2 linked regions of the Saccharomyces cerevisiae S288C genome follow. Changing the gene in region 2 together with the main gene of any one other region gives a genetic interaction. Each region holds a gene or a part of one and is shown on either strand. Other genes may lie near its edges.

What was found.
Region 1: mutations in IMA5 (region 2) and NCR1 together harm fitness more than expected from each alone (negative genetic interaction), as found in Saccharomyces cerevisiae (2 studies listed by BioGRID).

The regions. Positions count from the first base shown.
Region 1 is NC_001148.4:542,835-552,589, reverse strand, and holds NCR1 (sphingolipid transporter), read right to left. Parts: upstream 7,960-9,755; coding exon 4,447-7,959; downstream 1-4,446. Other genes in the region: ULA1 (Ula1p), read right to left, coding at 1-570; lipid-binding protein LSP1, read left to right, coding at 933-1,958; AEP3 (Aep3p), read right to left, coding at 2,284-4,104; transcription factor TFIIIC subunit TFC8, read left to right, coding at 8,742-9,755. UniProt on the Saccharomyces cerevisiae protein: Involved in sphingolipid trafficking. May recycle sphingolipids between cellular membranous compartments.
Region 2 is NC_001142.9:21,516-30,079, forward strand, and holds IMA5 (oligo-1,6-glucosidase IMA5), read right to left. Parts: upstream 4,572-8,564; coding exon 2,826-4,571; downstream 1-2,825. Other genes in the region: YJL218W (acetyltransferase), read left to right, coding at 458-1,048; REE1 (Ree1p), read left to right, coding at 1,618-2,214; hexose transporter HXT8, read left to right, coding at 5,372-7,081. UniProt on the Saccharomyces cerevisiae protein: Alpha-glucosidase with specificity for isomaltose, maltose, and palatinose.

The sequences.
Region 1 (9,755 bases), on a different chromosome or scaffold from region 2:
GGCTGTATCCATTTTACTTAGGTCAAATGTATCTACGTAATTTATTAGTTCAGGCCAAGGGTTCTGTAACCGTAAATCATACTTCTTACTATCTGGGTGTGCTTGCAAAACAAAATGTGTTTCTGAGAGTACCAGATATATATATCCATAAAATCCAGAGACGAAAGTGTTTAGAACAGGCGGAAACTTTGTTCCTCTCTGCCGCCTAATCTCATTTAAATCGAGCATCGCAGTTTGCTCACCAATACAAGTCAAGATCACCACCGAGAAGCGGGTCCAATCATACTGAGGTTGCTGTAACGTCTTTCTAAGGTCATTTTCCTCATATTCTAGCTGTTTAGAAGCCAATGGCTCAAGATCTTTTTTAAGCTCTGCTAAAAACAGAGAACCCGATTGAACTGCACACTCTACTTTGAGCCAAGTAAGAGATGATATTCCGGCAAGCACCAGATTCTTAAAAACTTCCTGCAGCAAAGGTGTAGCAGGTCCTACCACGCACACACGGGACCGGTTCAAACTATCTTGGCCCAATGCTCCCCATAGTCTCAGCTGTCTATCATATCTTTCCATATTTTCATCTACGGCTGTCTAGTTGGCCTAAGAAAGAAAGAGAGGCGACTCATTTTTTTGACGTCAATCGTCTGACTTGTCCTTCTATTTCATTGCTAGGCTAGAAAGCTTAGCTCTTACAACCCCGCTCGTTGCAGCCGAGTGAAAAGGGGATTGCGAAAGGCGTTAGAGGGGATAAAAAGGGGCCCTTTAAAAAAAAGACGGAAAAACCGGGAAGATGCAACGGCTAAATCGCAATATATAAACAGGTGAGATAGAAAAGAAAAAAATCAGTTAACCTCTTTCCTCAATTCCAATGCTTGACCGTAAATTCTCTTTATTTGGTATACGAAAGATTAAACTTTCAAAGCTCCAACACAAGAATGCACAGAACTTACTCTTTAAGAAATCAAAGAGCTCCAACGGCTGCTGAGCTACAAGCTCCTCCACCACCACCATCCTCAACGAAGTCCAAGTTCTTCGGAAAGGCCTCTATTGCGTCTAGTTTTAGAAAAAATGCGGCTGGTAACTTTGGGCCAGAGTTGGCTCGTAAATTATCTCAATTGGTTAAGACTGAAAAAGGTGTCCTTAGAGCTATGGAAGTTGTTGCCAGCGAACGCCGTGAAGCTGCAAAGCAACTGTCTCTATGGGGTGCTGACAATGATGATGATGTTTCCGACGTAACCGACAAATTAGGCGTCTTAATATATGAGTTGGGTGAACTACAGGACCAGTTCATCGATAAATATGATCAATACAGAGTCACATTAAAATCAATTAGGAACATTGAAGCCTCTGTTCAACCTTCGAGAGATCGTAAGGAAAAGATCACAGATGAAATTGCCCATTTGAAATATAAAGATCCTCAATCAACAAAAATCCCAGTTTTAGAGCAAGAACTAGTTCGTGCCGAAGCTGAATCTTTGGTTGCGGAGGCTCAATTATCGAATATCACACGTGAAAAATTAAAGGCTGCTTATAGTTATATGTTTGATTCATTAAGAGAGCTTTCTGAAAAATTTGCCCTGATTGCTGGATACGGAAAGGCCTTATTGGAGCTGCTAGATGACTCTCCTGTCACTCCAGGTGAAGCTAGACCAGCGTACGATGGCTATGAAGCTTCTCGCCAAATTATTATGGATGCTGAATCGGCCTTGGAATCTTGGACCCTAGACATGGCTGCAGTCAAACCAACTCTTTCATTTCATCAGACCGTTGATGACGTCTATGAAGACGAAGATGGTGAAGAAGAAGAAGAACCTGAAATCCAAAATGGAGATATCCCCGGTCAAGTAGTCGAAGAAGAGGAAGTTGAATGGACTACTGAAGTTCCTGTAGATGATGAAGCCCATGAGGCCGATCATCATGTTAGTCAAAACGGTCATACCTCCGGTTCTGAAAACATCTGAGTTTTTTCTAATAATTAATATATTCGAACCTTTCTATATTGTGCTTGTTTTTCACCAGCTCGTGTCTACCTATTATTAATTTCATCTGAATTTGGTTCAAGTATTGTTCGGCCAATATTCCGGTATTGTAATCACCTTTATAATTAATTGAACAAATTTTATAAGACCTAATAATTAACCTTTCTCTTGTTCTCCTTTGCCGTAAGAGATTCAACTTTTCGAAGTCTAATTAAATGAATATGATCTATGAAGTATATATGTACAATAAAAATGCCTATATTAATAAAATTCCTGTCCAAATGCCAGGGCACTTATGCCTCCCTCATCAAACCTCCCCAACTATTCTCCTCTTTACTAGCTCTTTTTTGAAAGCTACATCATTGTCTTTGATATACGCCATTCTTTTTTCCAAAGCAGCCTTTGTGGCTATTGCTTTAACCCGATTTCGATATTCTCTTTTTTTCTGGGAAATGTTTGAGGGTAGGTTTGTGGGCTTCTGATGATCTTGTGCTGTATTGGTGCAGCGTAAAGTAGTGGGGATACAACCCAAAAAACGTAGTATTTTTTTTTGTGAAGAATCACTTTCTTTCCAAATTTTCCAAGAGAACTCACCCTCGGAAGCAATCAGGTTGCCCAACAATTTTCTTGCTTTTTCAATTGACTTTTCTGATAGCGTATTAGGACTACCAAATTTGAAAATTGAGTCTGCTTTGGTTCTCCAATAACTTGTCCGCAATCCAAATCCTTCACTAACCTTTAAGTCTTTGATATACTGTAGGACTGCCCCAAAATTCTTGGTGTTGCCATTCCTAACTAACGCTTTAAATAACATTTCGAACGTCTGAGAATCAGGTTTAATTTTGTAAATCTTACGACAAGTATTATAGCAAAGGAATGCCAAATCACTTCTTCCCTTATTAGCAAATACCCGCATGAAATGATTCATTGCCTCCGAGTCCAACTTAAAATTACTTTTCAAGTGCTGAAAACCATAGTCAAGTAATTTAGATGCGGTTTCAAGTTGTTCCTCGTTTAGTAGTCGTTCTATGCACAGATAGAACGTCTTACGGGAAATCGGTAGTGAATTTGCTGCTAAAACTTTTAAACAGTCCTCTGCTCTATAATCTCCGTTCCTTAGCACAGTATAAACAAAATTTACGTTAAAATTTCCTAAATGTTCACCCATTTGAACAATGTACAATTGTCTCGAAACTTCATCACGAAGAAAGTTATAACATGTCGTCCAAGTTATTACATCTGCAAAAACTCCATGATTACGCATACTTCTAAGATAAAAAAGGACCTCATCGTCAGGGTGCTTCGTTTTTCTAATATGCGAGTTTTTCACTACATTACGCAGTAAAAGATTAAAAGTGATTGTATTTGGTTTAGTCCCCTCAGCCTTCATTTGTGCAAATATTTCTCTACAAGACGCAAAGTCGAAGTGCTCACTGAAAAAGTATATTGAGTCATTATAAACTTGAGCAGAACGCAACGGCAGAGTCGTCTTATTGGTTGGATGAAGTAGGTGCCGCAGCATCTTACGCACAATACCATTTAGTTTGGAAGATGAACGAAAATTGAACTTTGTATGACTTAGTATTCCAATATAATTTTCAAACAATTGAGGGTTCTTTGAAAAGTCAGGGAGAGGAGGGATCTCGTCATTACTAAACTTAAGAAACTTACGAGTGAAGCGTTCTGGCCCTGAATTCTTCTCATTCGATGTGCAATCTATCAGTAGCGTCAATAGTTCTCTAGTAAACTCTTGAGACTTTGCTGTAAGAAGTTTCTGGAATTTATTCGAGGAATTCGTTTGTTTAGAGAACATATACATTCGTTTTGCACGTTCCTCATCATAGTCATCCCTAATTTGTTTCCTAGAAAGCGTTAAAGTCGGCAGGCTTGAAAGGTATTCCTTAACTTGCTCCCTTTCATACTTCACACCATGCCGTACTATTTTTTTTGCCTCTCCATTAACTGACGTTGATGTTGGGCTATCTATTATTTTTTCATCAACTTTCTTGACATTTGCAATTGGTATACCCTCTCTGAACAGGCCTGGAAATATTACTTTCTGATATAGTTTTGGAGCTTCTCTCCCACTTTTGGATAGTGCTTGTGTCAAACACCTTAATGTATTCATAAATATACTAAATGGCTAAGGATGCCCAAGAGTGCCAGAAGATGCCAGAACAAAATCACCCCGAAGTAATCGGTTTTAGTTCTTTTGGCCTTTCCTCTTTTGAAGTTCTGTGTGCGAAAATGACGATTTTCGCCCGAAACCAATAATACTTTTATGACACTATTAAAGATTAAATATAGTAGAAGTATCTAACTTCAATGCACGATAACAACGAAGCCTGTGTTAGTGTTATCATTTCTGACTCGAAAAATTTTCCCACAGATTTTCTGGTGTGGCATCAGAATAATTAACGAATTTTTACCTATTTTTTCACTACGTAAAATATAGTATAATCTGCTATGGCTAATCTTCTGCTTCGATGGAATCGTCCCTATAGCTTTCACCACCAAACAATGAAAGTAAAGCAGGTAAAAATAGGAGAGCATGCAATGCTGCTACAATGATTAGTGTAAACCACATTCTAAAGTAAAATACATCAAATATTTTCGATTGGGCGAATGCAAGTACACAAACTCCAATGAATTTGGTTAGAGTTATACCTTTGATGACGGACTCACCTATGGTATTCAAGGAATAGAGAACTCTTGAGTTTGCGTCTTTCTTGGTTTCACTGGGGACCACTGTAAATGATCTAACAATATGAACACAAAACTCGACACCCAAACCGACACAAATAATTAAATTGACTAAACTGACAGCGTTGAGTGAGATACCTAGTAGGGCCATCAAAGCACCAATATCTACGATAATCATGGTAACGACCAAAGCCAGTAAGAATGAGCTGCGTATATTCTGCAAGAAAACAGATGAAATGAAAAAAATTAGGATAATGGCACTCCCTATTAGCTTCAACGTCAATGGTCCCAAAGTTTGATATTGAACAAAAAAAATGTAAAACGGCGAGTATGCAAACATATCTAGTTCGGGGAAAGAACTTGATATCCTAACTCCATCACTATACGCCTGGATAAAGTCCTTTTGGGATCTCAAAGGATGATGAGCTGTTCTGAAAACTGACGCAGACACACTCGTTTCATTATAAACTAACGCAGTCGAATATGGCGCACGACCACCTAGAGGGCAGGGGTCACTAGGCGCATTAATCCATATGCTTAGGTATTCCATGAAGTCCTTGCCCTCAGGAAACCCTGACATGTTGTAATTCCAAGAACCCTGCTGGAAACAAGTTTCACAACGTCTACTTGGAAAAGAGGGAGGACAAACCTCATCTGTTCCCTTCTTTAATCTACAACACTGGTCGTTTTGAGGATTTAAAAACATGAAATAATCGTCCAGCCAATTAGCCAATGGCTCCGTAATTGTTGACCTGTGTCTTTCTTGCTCCAGTACATTAGCTAATGAGTCTCTTTCGCAAGTTGTAAATTTACCACATATTTTCTGTTGGTTTTGTCTTTTAGTCAAATCTAAATTCTTCACGACCATGTAAACCGGTGGTCCTACGTTTAGGAAGCTATAAACATCCTTAAAATAGTCAACCAGGTAGGAATCCTGTGGAACAGCCAATGTTTGATCTAGCCCAAATTGAATTTCTGGTAAGAAAACCAGAGATGTGAAAAACCAAGCCGAGAAGATAATGATTATGAGCCTCTTTTGCGTTAACATCTTAAAATAAAACGTTTTCAAAAATGATTCCTTAGTTTCTTCATTTCCGGTAATTTGTTTATAATTGGATCTCTTTTCGTAGAGAGACAAAATGGACACATACGCTGTTAGCTGTAATACTCCGTTGAATATAACAGAAACTGTGGAATATATAGCAAAATTATGGACAGCTGGCATTGTAACAAATGCAGCTATCAAGAAGCATCCGGTTTGACATAGCAATGACATTAAAATGGAAGGAGACATTCTCCCGATAGCGCTTATTATTTTTTGATCAATTGAATACTCCGGTTTTTGCTCGCAATTTCTATCATACTCATGTGTAATCAAGAAAATATTATCTATTCCTATTGCTAAAATTAGAAACGGTATTACTTCTGCTATGATCAATGTCGACTTCAAACCAAAAAGAGTTAAAAATCCGGCTGCACAAACAATAGAAGCCAAAACTATGAGTAAACCAGATATTCCAAGTAACAACCTAGTTTTCCCATCCTTTCTCCTCAAGGCCCATGTAGCATATAAAAACATCATCAGGTATGATATTGCAACGGTCGAGATATCATTATTATTATTAAGCTCTTTTTCCAAGGATATTTCGGTATTAAAACTGATCCTCAGGCCCTCGGGGACCTTTAAATCCAATAAATACTCTTCCAATCTTTCTTCCCAGCGATTAGCTGATTGAGTGTGGTTGGTCAATAGAAGTGTTACAACAAACGCATGCGCATTGAGAATATCATCGTCACTGAAAAGAAGATTAGTTTTTAGAGGTTGCTGGAAAGTAGGTAGACAGTTTACAGGAAATTTCCCACATTCCTGCAGTTCCCTTTTCCAGCTATCCTTGTTTGGTAAGGCCCCCTGAAAATACTGAGTAAAAGACTCTATTACGCATGTAGAATCTTCTGTTGGTCTGAAGCAGAGATCTTGGTATCCAATATTTTCTGACGATTGTAGCTCTTCCGTAATAAAATTTTCAACGTCAAACCACCAGTGAAGTGTCTCATATGATAACACAGGGCCTGTCTCATTCACAACAAATATTTGCTCTGTCCTGTAAAATGGCCCAAAATTATCATCGAAGTACTCTTTTTCTTTGAATTTTTCAGAATTTTTACTCACCCACAAATTAATTGGATCTGTTTCAAGAGTAGCGTACTGAAATATGATGAAACTGAATACAAAGATACTAAAAACAGTGGTTATTAATATCTTGTAGGGGTTTTCAACGGAAAATTGTCCCACTTTCGTAAATAGGTTAGCGAGTTTACCATTAAAAAAGTTAGTTTCATTATTGAAACTTTCGAATACATTCGTCTCTGATTCATCTAAGGAACCTGATTCTGGAACAATATCGTCGTCCACAATCATTGCCCCGTTTTTTTTTCTTTTACAGAGATAATACCACATAAATGCAAAAAGTGCACAGATTGTGTAAAAGATCAGAACAGAAAGGGAAAAACATGGCAGAGGGCCAACTTTACACACGCCATCTTTTAAAGGTTTTAAATGGGGGCAAGACTCTTGACAATCAGAACACGCACATTTATATTGAGCATCATCGCAAGCATAAACCTCATCATTAAATTCCTGCCATTCTTTTTCTTCATTTGCTAAATCATACTTGTAATTAATCTGAAAGGGGGATCCACCAAGCATAGGTTTAGCATCCCCCAAAAACTTCAAGAATTGACTGTAATTTTTAGCACCACCTCCGATTAGGTCCATCGCATAACCGTTGGTAGCAGAAAATTTAATATTCTTACATGAGTCATAAAATTCAGATGCCCAAGACGAATTCATGAAAACGTCTAATTCCGCAACAATATCTTTATCTTCTTTTGACTTTTCTACCTTGGTAATATTGACAAACCTTCCTTGGTCAGCAGCGCAAGTGAAGTGACAGAACAGGTTATTAAAATTCTTGAGGCATGCTGGGCATGAGGAAATTAAAGGTTGAGCCTTTTGTAGGTTATCTCTCAGTGCTACCACTTGATCTTTAGTACAGCAGGCATAACGGACCTCTTTCCACTCTTCACCACAAACTTCAACCAAAAGTTTGCTTGTTTCATCTGAAAGAACAGGAGGTTCAAAACTACGTGGCACAGGGCAAGGTAATTCGTTTCCAAATACTGACTTTTTCCCACAGTTCCCATACATGGCACAGGTAGCTGTTCCCTGAACGAGCCGCATCAGCTGGCCAACTAGTGCTATAATCCATAGCACATTCATGGTTTTACTAATTGAAGTTCTGCTCTTGTTCTTTTTGGAGATGAATTTAGTTATCTTCTACACAAGAACGTTGTTATACTGGTTGTTGATGTTCCTCTCGTTTGGCACTCCCGCTATATAAACGCTAAGGGGGTCACCCGAGAAGTTCAAGGCTCTTTATCAGAATATCGCAAATAATCTTTAGTACTGTAGGTAATGGGCTAGCGCCATCCAGAAGTCTAGTTTAATTGCCAAAAAGTGGCGCTCTTGATGTTAGTGATGGGAAGAGAATATCTTGACTACTCTATCGTTCGGTAATAGTTAATTACTGGGATGCGCTTAAATGATTATACAAGTTATTTATGTCGACGACTGCCTGTAGAAAAACAATGTAGCGAATACCTGCATAGCAGTTCAATAATAGGAGAGAATCATTGCGTATATATTACGAAATACCACAACTGCAACACATTTATGTAAGATTAAATTGTTGCTTACATCTGTTGTGACATTAGCCACGGTATGCAATTAGCTGAATGATTTATTTCAATAAAAAAGGAAATAGACCTTCCCAAAGATAATCCAACTTCCCAGCATTTGCTTTTGAAGTTTTGCTTCGTATTGGAAGGCTTTAAATGGCGTATTTCTTCCGTCATTTCGCACCTTAAGTGTATTCTGTTTCTTACGCGCAACGCACTTTTCTCAATAATGAGATCTAAACAATGATTAGACAGAATTATATATAATGAAAAAAGCAGCATGACTAACTTTGTTAGGAGTTAGGAAAGCCAATTCAATTCATAATGAAGCTTCTAAAGGACTTATTGGTAGATAGAAAGGAATTTGAGGATTGGAAGAACAATTTAACATGGGCTCGGGATGGTACTCTATATTTGACCACATTTCCTGATATTAGCATTGGGCAGCCAAAATATGCTAAAGACATTAATTGCAACAGTAAGAATTTATTTCATGTGAAAGAATTCCCGCTAGAATTTGAAAATAAACTGGATTTCGAGCTGGCGCAACAGAATGGGTTATTAAATTCACAACCTGTTTGTTATCCCAGAGTCTGTAAGCCATCACCAATAGACGATTGGATGGCCGTATTGAGCAATAATGGTAATGTTTCTGTGTTCAAAGATAACAAAATGCTCACAAATCTCGATTCAAAAGGAAACTTAAGTAGCAGAACCTACCATTGTTTTGAATGGAATCCTATTGAATCATCAATCGTGGTTGGTAATGAAGACGGTGAGCTTCAATTCTTTAGCATTCGCAAAAATTCAGAAAATACTCCAGAATTTTATTTTGAGAGTAGTATTAGATTAAGTGACGCAGGCTCAAAAGACTGGGTCACTCATATAGTATGGTACGAAGACGTTCTTGTAGCGGCGCTTTCAAACAATTCTGTATTTTCAATGACAGTTTCTGCTTCCTCTCATCAACCCGTTTCTAGAATGATACAAAATGCTTCGAGAAGAAAAATTACTGATTTAAAGATAGTGGATTATAAGGTGGTTTTAACTTGTCCCGGATATGTGCATAAGATAGATTTAAAAAATTATTCAATTTCTAGCTTGAAAACAGGATCTCTCGAAAATTTTCATATAATCCCATTGAATCATGAGAAAGAGAGCACGATATTATTGATGTCCAATAAGACTAGTTATAAAGTTTTACTAGAAGACGAACTTCATGTGACGGCTGATAATATTATCGCGCCTTACTTAGAGAAGAAATTCAAGAAATGGAGCACAATTTGGAATGAATTCAATAATTATGAAACAACTCTTGTCATACACGGAATATCTCTC
Region 2 (8,564 bases):
TAGCCCCAGAAACATTCATATGACGTCTGTTTCAAATTAAGCTTAGTAAAAGTACACATTTACCATAAAAAAATAGTACCAAGTCGGTGGCCTGATATCCTTATTTTCCTTCTGCCAATTGGGCAAGTTGGTACTAATATTTTAGGTGACACTGCCACTTTATTGTTATGGATTGAAATTTCTTAAATGTTCTCACAATCGGCCATAACGCTATTTCTCCGACGTAACCTCCTGTCATAGTGTGCCGTGCCTGAATAACTTAAAAAATTAAAGTTTTCAATGTGCCCAAAAAAATTCACAAATAGTACGCGCTCGTTAAACACCCTGTGACGCTGGGCCAGGCACTATTTAGCATTACTTCGAAAAGACGCAAGTATAAAGAGTGAGATCTCACGTACTACAACAAGAACATAGAGAAGCATTCTAATAAGCATATAAACAAGGCTTCTAGAGAAAAATGGGCGTATTAGAAAATATAGTACCTGGTGAGCTTTATGATGCGAACTATGATCCAGATCTTTTGAAAATTAGAAAAGAGACTAAAATAAAATTGCACGAATACAACACCCTTAGCCCCGCTGATGAGAATAAAAAGAGCCAGGTAATAAGAGAATTACTTGGTAGTTGCACTGATAACTTTATAATTGAACCGCCGTTTTACTGTGATTACGGAAGTAACATCTATATCGGAGACAACTTTTACGCCAATCACAATCTTGTTATATTGGATGGGGCCAAGGTAGTCATCGGTGACAACGTATTTATCGCCCCTAATGTTGGTATTTATACGGCAGGTCATCCAATTGACGTGGAAAGACGGCTTCAAGGATTAGAATATGCCATGCCTGTGACCATTGGAGACAATGTATGGATTGGAGGTGGAGTGTCAATAATTCCTGGAGTAAATATAGGTAAAAACTCCGTGATTGCCGCCGGTAGTGTTGTGATTCGTGACATACCAGAAAATGTAGTGGCAGCAGGTAATCCTTGTAAGGTGATAAGAAAGATCACTGAAAAAGATAGTACAACTACAAACTATCGAAAATGATGGATCCACTTTCTGGAGGAATTATCGAAAGCAAGTGTTGTCTTCTATGATTATGTACCGTATTTTCTTATAAGAATAAATAAAAAGCTAGTTCAGTTTTAGTCGACTAAATACGCAGAGAGATTATTAATTATTGGTATATGTTCTGGTTTAAGTTGCTCATTCTCAACTCGACTGTGTATAGTAGCTTCTTTCTGGTATAATCTATCTTCGAGGAGAAAATTATAGTTTACAACTTATGTAAAACTGCTCAAGTTCCAACCGTATAGAAAACGCGTGGCTGGTAGCTTTATGTTCGGATTTGAGAAATTTTCGGGGAAATAAGTACCGTTCTAATTTTTCAGCGCAAATTAACATGCGGAGAAACTTTAAACTGAAAATATGGCCACCTGCATGCGTCCATATGAAAGGGTCATCAAATAGCCTCGAACAAAACAAGTAACATTTTCGATGGAGTTAGAAAGGGATGATCCTATACGCACAGATTTCCTAGGTATTTAACCTGACCTAATATTAACAAAAGTCCAAGTGACGGCTTCTCCATCAAACAAGATAAATTACCAAACACAATGGTCGAATCTAAGAATACTGAATTATCGCAAGGAACATGGCTCAATAAGCCAAAATCTGTTTTTCAAGAGGCAGGAAAAGTCACTCTGGAAACAGATGAAAAAACTGACTTTTGGCGTGAAACATTTTACGGATTTACCCGTGATAGCGGTCATTTTTTGGGAGTAGAGACAGGTAGTGCTTTTACTGCACAAGTCCGTGTTCAGGGAAGCTACGAGAGTCTTTATGATCAGGCTGGTATCATGGTTCGTATAGATGATGGACATTGGCTCAAAGCTGGCATAGAAATTTCTGATGGCCACGCAATGCTAAGCAGTGTTTTGACAAATGGAAAATCAGATTGGTCAACTGCTGTTTATGGCGGAAATGCTCGCGATTTCTGGCTTCGTGTTACTGTTGAAAAGGGCGTTTTGAGGATTCAGGTGTCCTCTGATAAAAAAACATGGCCGTTAGTACGTTTGGCTCCATTTCCAACTTCTGACCATTACCTTGTTGGACCAATGGCTTGCACACCTGAGCGTGGCGGATTGAAAGTTACTTTCTCGGAATGGAGTCTCACAGCTCCTTTAGGAAAAGCTTTACATGATTTGAGTTAGTTCACCTATATATCAATATATAAAGAGGGGTTTGCTTTTGTTAAGAACAAGGCCTGCACCTCACTAAGATCTGTTGATTTGGCACTATGCTTTTTAAAATTTTGTTTATACTCAATTTCGTCAAGATTTTTTTTACTAGTACAATCCATACAGTTAACAAAATACTGGGCAATAAGGCGTGCATACTACGAAATTTTTAGTTTTGTTATAATAAACGACTTTTAGCTAGTGTTTTAAGATAAAGTGACGAAAGTTAGGGTGAGAATAGTCGAATGTATTTACTAATTATTGAATTCGTGGTAATTAGTACTTATGATGATGGGGTTTAAAGGGCTAAATTTAGACAATAGAAACAGTAATAATGATGTTTTCTATTTTTCTGCTGTACGTTGCTTTTTATTTTATATTTCTTCGGAAAAAGGTTCAGTGAATTTTCTGTCTTCTATATACATATATAAATTGCAATTGAAAATAGCGTACAGCGTAAGTTAAGTATCCAATGCTCACATATGAAAAGCAAAAGTAAAAAGAAATATACAAGTTTATTATTCATAAATATCGGCATAACTATTTGTTTCGAAAGATCAGTACGTTTATGTTAAATGTGCTCGTTACTTCAACAAGTAAAGTCTTCCTTCCCATGGCTGCAAGGTGCGGGAATCACCATTTGAGTTTGCATAGTTGCCAAAAAACATGGTGTAGGAGGCCTCATTATCAGGAACTGAAAAGTCCGTATTATCGCTACTGAAATTGAAAACAGCAAACATTTTTTTGTTATCTGTGTCCTTTGTAAACATGAATAGCTTGTCATTATCAAGATCAATGAACTGAAAGTTATGTCCATAAACAAGGATATCTTTGTGCTCCTTTCTAACTTGTAAGGCCTTTTTCCAGAAAAAGAAGACTGAGTTTTTATCTTTTAACTCAGCTTCTGCGTTGATTCCGTCTCTAAATGATTCATTCATGTCAATCCATGGTTTGGCATCCTTCGAGAAACCTGCAGAAGGCTCATCAGCACTCCATGGGAATGGTGTTCTCCCATGATCTCTAGAGATCAAAGCTAATGCTTCAAAAAACTTTTTCATCTTTTCAGAATCTTCACCATAATCACGTTTAATGGCGGCATATGTACCAGTACCTTCAACGCATTTGATTTGCTCAATTTTTCTGTTTTTGAAGTTGGGCATACCCAATTCTTGTCCTTGGTAGATAAAAACAGTACCAGTCAATGAAATGATGAGAGTAGCCAACATCTTGGACGAAATCTCACGCCATTTAGGAGAATCTGAGCCAAAACGCGAAACGCTACGAGGTTGATCATGATTCTCCAAATAGATGGTCGACCAGCAATCTGTGTTTTCGATAAACAGAAAGCTTTCAGCAAGAGCCAGCTTAAAGTCTTTTAAAGTAAAGGGAATAAGTTCGTACTTGCATTTTGGGTTTTCACCTACTGAGGTGTGCTTGAAGTTGAACATCATATTTAGTTCTCCTTCTTTGGCACTGGTATAAACTCTGAAGTCGTCTTCATTCCCGATACCAACTTCTCCAACAGTCATGATTTCTTTACCCTCTGGAACTTGCGAGAGCATGTAGTTATGCATTTCTTTATGATACTCATGGATACGTGGCCCATTTATGAAAAATTCAGTTCCTTTTTGGTAAGGAACTGTAGGATCAGTGATAGGAGCATCGGGTAGGCCCTCAACCTTAGAATACATGCTGCCTACGTCAATACGAAAGCCATCAACGTTGTGACGTAGCCAATAGCCCACTGAGGAGTCATAAATGGCTTTACGGCACTCTTCATTTTCCCAATTGAAATCAGGTTGGCCAAGAGCAAACACATGCAGAAAGAACTCACCAGTTTTTTCGTCATATCTCCAAGCAGATCCACCAAAGAAAGATCTCCAATTGTTGGGAGGAATTGGATTACCTTTCTCATCGTAACCCTTTGGAGGTCTCCAGAAAAACCAGTCACGCTTTGGATTAGCCTTAGAAGATCTACTCTCCTTGAACCATTCATGCTCTTCAGAACAGTGGTTGATAACCAGGTCAACAATAACCTTGATACCTCTCTTATGAGCTTCTTCTATCATTTGGAAACAATCCTCATTGGTACCGTAACGTGGCCAAACCTTCTCATAGTTGGCAATATCGTAACCCATATCTTCTTGAGGAGAGTCATAAAATGGGCACACCCATATCGCATCGACACCTAATTCTTTGACATAGTCAAGTTTGGAGGTAATCCCAGCTAAATCACCCCATCCGTCATTGTTGGAGTCCTTGAAACTAGCAGGATAAATTTGGTAGACGGTGGCTTCTTTCCACCATTTAGGATTATGGATGATCGTCATGTTTTTCTTTTCAATATTGAGCACTTTCTATATAGTCATCAAGAAACAGTAGTTTTTCGCACCAAGATATGTGAACAAGTGTCCTAATTTATAATTCGTCAGACGTTTATGAACTTACTCCTCAAAACCGTATCAATTACCGTAGCGGTAATGGAAGATACAATTCTTAAGTGTGAATTACTTTTTCCGGTGAATTAGCTTCTAGGATTGTGACTATTTCAATGGACAATGTTGCAAATAGTTTCAAATATTCCCGTGTTTCTCCGAGGATTCTCCACGGAGGAAAAATAATGCAAAGTTTATTTCCCCGTTTTCTTTTCTCCGTCTAGGCATTTACGCTTTCACGCAACTTTATTATATCACCTCCGCGGGGATTCAACAACGAGGTATGTGGAGAAGGAGAGAAATTCCAGAGAAAGCAGCCTAGAGCATCCTGCTGCAGCAACTTATAAACGTATCTCACAGAAAAGGCCGGAGAAAGTTCTTGAAATGTGTAATTTAGCCTACCTGCCAAGCGGCTGGAATTATCCCGAGAATAATTCCGCGACCGGGCCTGTTCCTGAACTCTAAGAAGTTTTGGAATTTCCGAACGCTTCTTCGCATGAAAGACATGAACTCTTAAGTAAAATAATATGAACTGGCATGGTCGTAATCTTTTGGACGACGGAATATCATCGCTAACCATTGTAAGGGATGAAGCTTGACTAGATATATTTAAACGACCATTTTTGTTTCATTCTTATTTTAGATTGCATTTTTTATAAGTCACTTTTAGTTAGCTCAGAACGCCAGCAAAAACCATGACTGATCGTAAAACCAACTTGCCAGAAGAACCGATTTTCGAAGAGGCAGAAGATGATGGCTGCCCTTCGATAGAAAATTCTTCACATCTGTCAGTACCTACAGTGGAGGAAAACAAGGACTTTTCCGAGTATAATGGGGAAGAGGCAGAGGAAGTTGTTGTTCCAGAAAAGCCTGCTTCAGCCTATGCTACTGTTTCTATCATGTGTTTATGTATGGCTTTCGGTGGATTTATGTCCGGTTGGGACACAGGTACGATTTCTGGTTTCGTCAATCAGACTGATTTTTTAAGAAGATTTGGTAATTATAGCCATTCCAAGAACACTTACTACTTATCTAATGTGAGAACTGGGTTGATTGTGTCCATCTTCAATGTGGGAAGCGCCATTGGCTGTCTTTTCTTGTCTAAATTGGGTGATATTTACGGCCGCTGCATGGGTTTGATTATAGTTATTGTCGTTTATATGGTTGGTATTGTCATTCAAATTGCCTCTATAGATAAGTGGTATCAGTATTTTATTGGAAGAATTATCGCTGGTATAGGTGCTGGTTCCATTAGTGTTCTTGCCCCGATGCTTATTTCGGAAACTGCGCCAAAGCATATCAGAGGTACGTTGCTAGCTTGTTGGCAATTGATGGTGACTTTCGCAATTTTCTTGGGTTATTGTACCAATTATGGTACCAAGACTTACTCGAATTCTGTCCAGTGGCGTGTTCCGCTTGGTCTATGTTTTGCATGGGCTATTATTATGATTGGTGGTATGACGTTTGTTCCGGAATCTCCTCGGTTTTTGGTGCAAGTCGGTAAGATTGAGCAAGCTAAAGCTTCTTTTGCCAAGTCGAACAAGCTTAGTGTTGACGATCCTGCTGTGGTTGCAGAGATTGATCTTCTTGTTGCTGGTGTGGAGGCAGAAGAAGCAATGGGAACTGCTTCATGGAAGGAATTATTTTCGAGAAAGACTAAAGTTTTTCAACGTTTAACGATGACAGTCATGATTAACTCTCTGCAGCAACTAACCGGTGACAACTATTTCTTCTACTACGGTACTACTATCTTCAAATCTGTCGGTATGAATGACTCTTTTGAGACTTCAATTGTCTTGGGTATTGTGAATTTTGCTTCTTGCTTCTTTTCACTTTATTCTGTTGATAAGTTGGGCCGTCGTAGATGTCTTTTACTTGGAGCAGCCACCATGACGGCGTGCATGGTTATTTACGCCTCCGTTGGCGTCACAAGACTATATCCGAACGGTAAAAGTGAACCATCATCTAAAGGTGCTGGTAATTGTACGATTGTTTTCACGTGTTTTTACATTTTCTGCTTTTCCTGCACCTGGGGACCTGTATGTTATGTGATTATTTCTGAAACATTTCCATTAAGGGTGAGATCCAAGTGTATGTCCGTTGCAACAGCGGCCAACTTATTGTGGGGGTTCCTAATCGGGTTTTTCACTCCTTTTATTACTTCGGCAATTAATTTCTACTACGGTTACGTTTTCATGGGTTGCTTAGCGTTTTCATATTTTTACGTCTTTTTCTTTGTTCCAGAAACAAAAGGTCTAACTTTAGAAGAAGTTGATGAGATGTGGATGGACGGTGTATTACCTTGGAAATCTGAATCCTGGGTACCAGCTTCTAGAAGGGATGGTGATTATGATAACGAAAAATTACAGCATGACGAGAAACCCTTCTACAAAAGAATGTTTTAGACCGGTGAAAACACACGCAAGCAAACTTCAAAGTACATTGATAAATAATGTCCAATGCCCTCTGTAATATAGGGGCTTTTTAATTCCTAAGACTGATTCGATATATTAAACACCAGGGCTACTGAAGACTGACAGTCACGTTGAGTCCTATTATATCATTTTACTCACAGAAGATTTGGTAATATGATACTTAGATGGGCTTAACAACAAAGTGTTTTCTTGATGTTACTGCCCATGAAAAAAAGCAAATCAAATTAGTAGGCGGATTGTTAACTTTGTTTATTTTGAAACCCGTCAGGACTACCAAAATATAACAAAGTATTGATTATCGTCAACGCTTTATAGATCACTTTTTTTTTTTTTTGAGGAACCGATTAATTAATACATCGTAGCCTCTGCTTATTGCATAACACAACAAAAAAATACAATAATACGCAACTTTTGTTTATAGAAAAATAAAAATGGAACATATGATATTCTCTGTTCGTCATATGATAACTTAAGCACTTTCGTGTGTACATAGGTATTCTAGTGCATTGGAATGAGATCAATTATGATTTCCTAACCCAGAATTTATATTACTAATGATTTCAGAATTAATAAAAGCTGAAATAAAAGGAGTAGCAATGTAATAGGAAATAAACGAGGGCACATAGAAAGGAAGAAGAAAAATTACATTATGTGGAATTATTGATTCCCTTGGCAATTTCCCATAGTCTCATGAAAATTCCTGGCCTATTCTGTATTCATAATTCCATACTCTTTTTTAACAATGAAACTCCGGTAATTACCACAATATTTACTTATATCTCAATACGAACGCATGTTCTCTTCGAGGAAGACCAGCATTAGCGCTAAGCGCTAAGCGATGAGTTGACTTAATTTTTAAAAGGACGATGTTGGCGCGTTAGTGCATAAGAAAGTCAGCAAATCCCTTTAAGCTGAAAACCTTGATATATTTCTCGGCCTTTAATAATGGCGCAACTGATTTTAATTATCTTTGAATGGCTTATCTGTAACGAACATGTGTTACTAAACTAGTAGTAAGTTAGAAATACTGTTTATCCAGAATATGTAAGTTGGTGCTTCTAAAGTAATATAAGACCGCTTTAATTTGTTGTAACCTCTGAAATACAGGTAACCGCTGGGTCATCTCCTATCTAACTTTTGGTAAAAATGACATCGAAAAGAACAATTTTCGAAATATTCAATTTGTTCGGGTGTCGGTTTAATGCTCAAGGCCCCAATATTTCATAATAGGATTCTAAGAATTGCAGAAAATTCAGCTATGTTTCACCCATTTTGTTATTGGTGAAAACCGCCAAATCGATATCGATATAGTCACATTTTAGAGCGTGCCGATAGTCTCTAAACTTACACGAACGTCATTATTTGTAAGTAGACAACTGGGAATTTTAAAAAAGGTTGAGAAGATTCGTTTTATAAAATATGACGTCGTAAAAGAAGAAAGTGACAATACTGT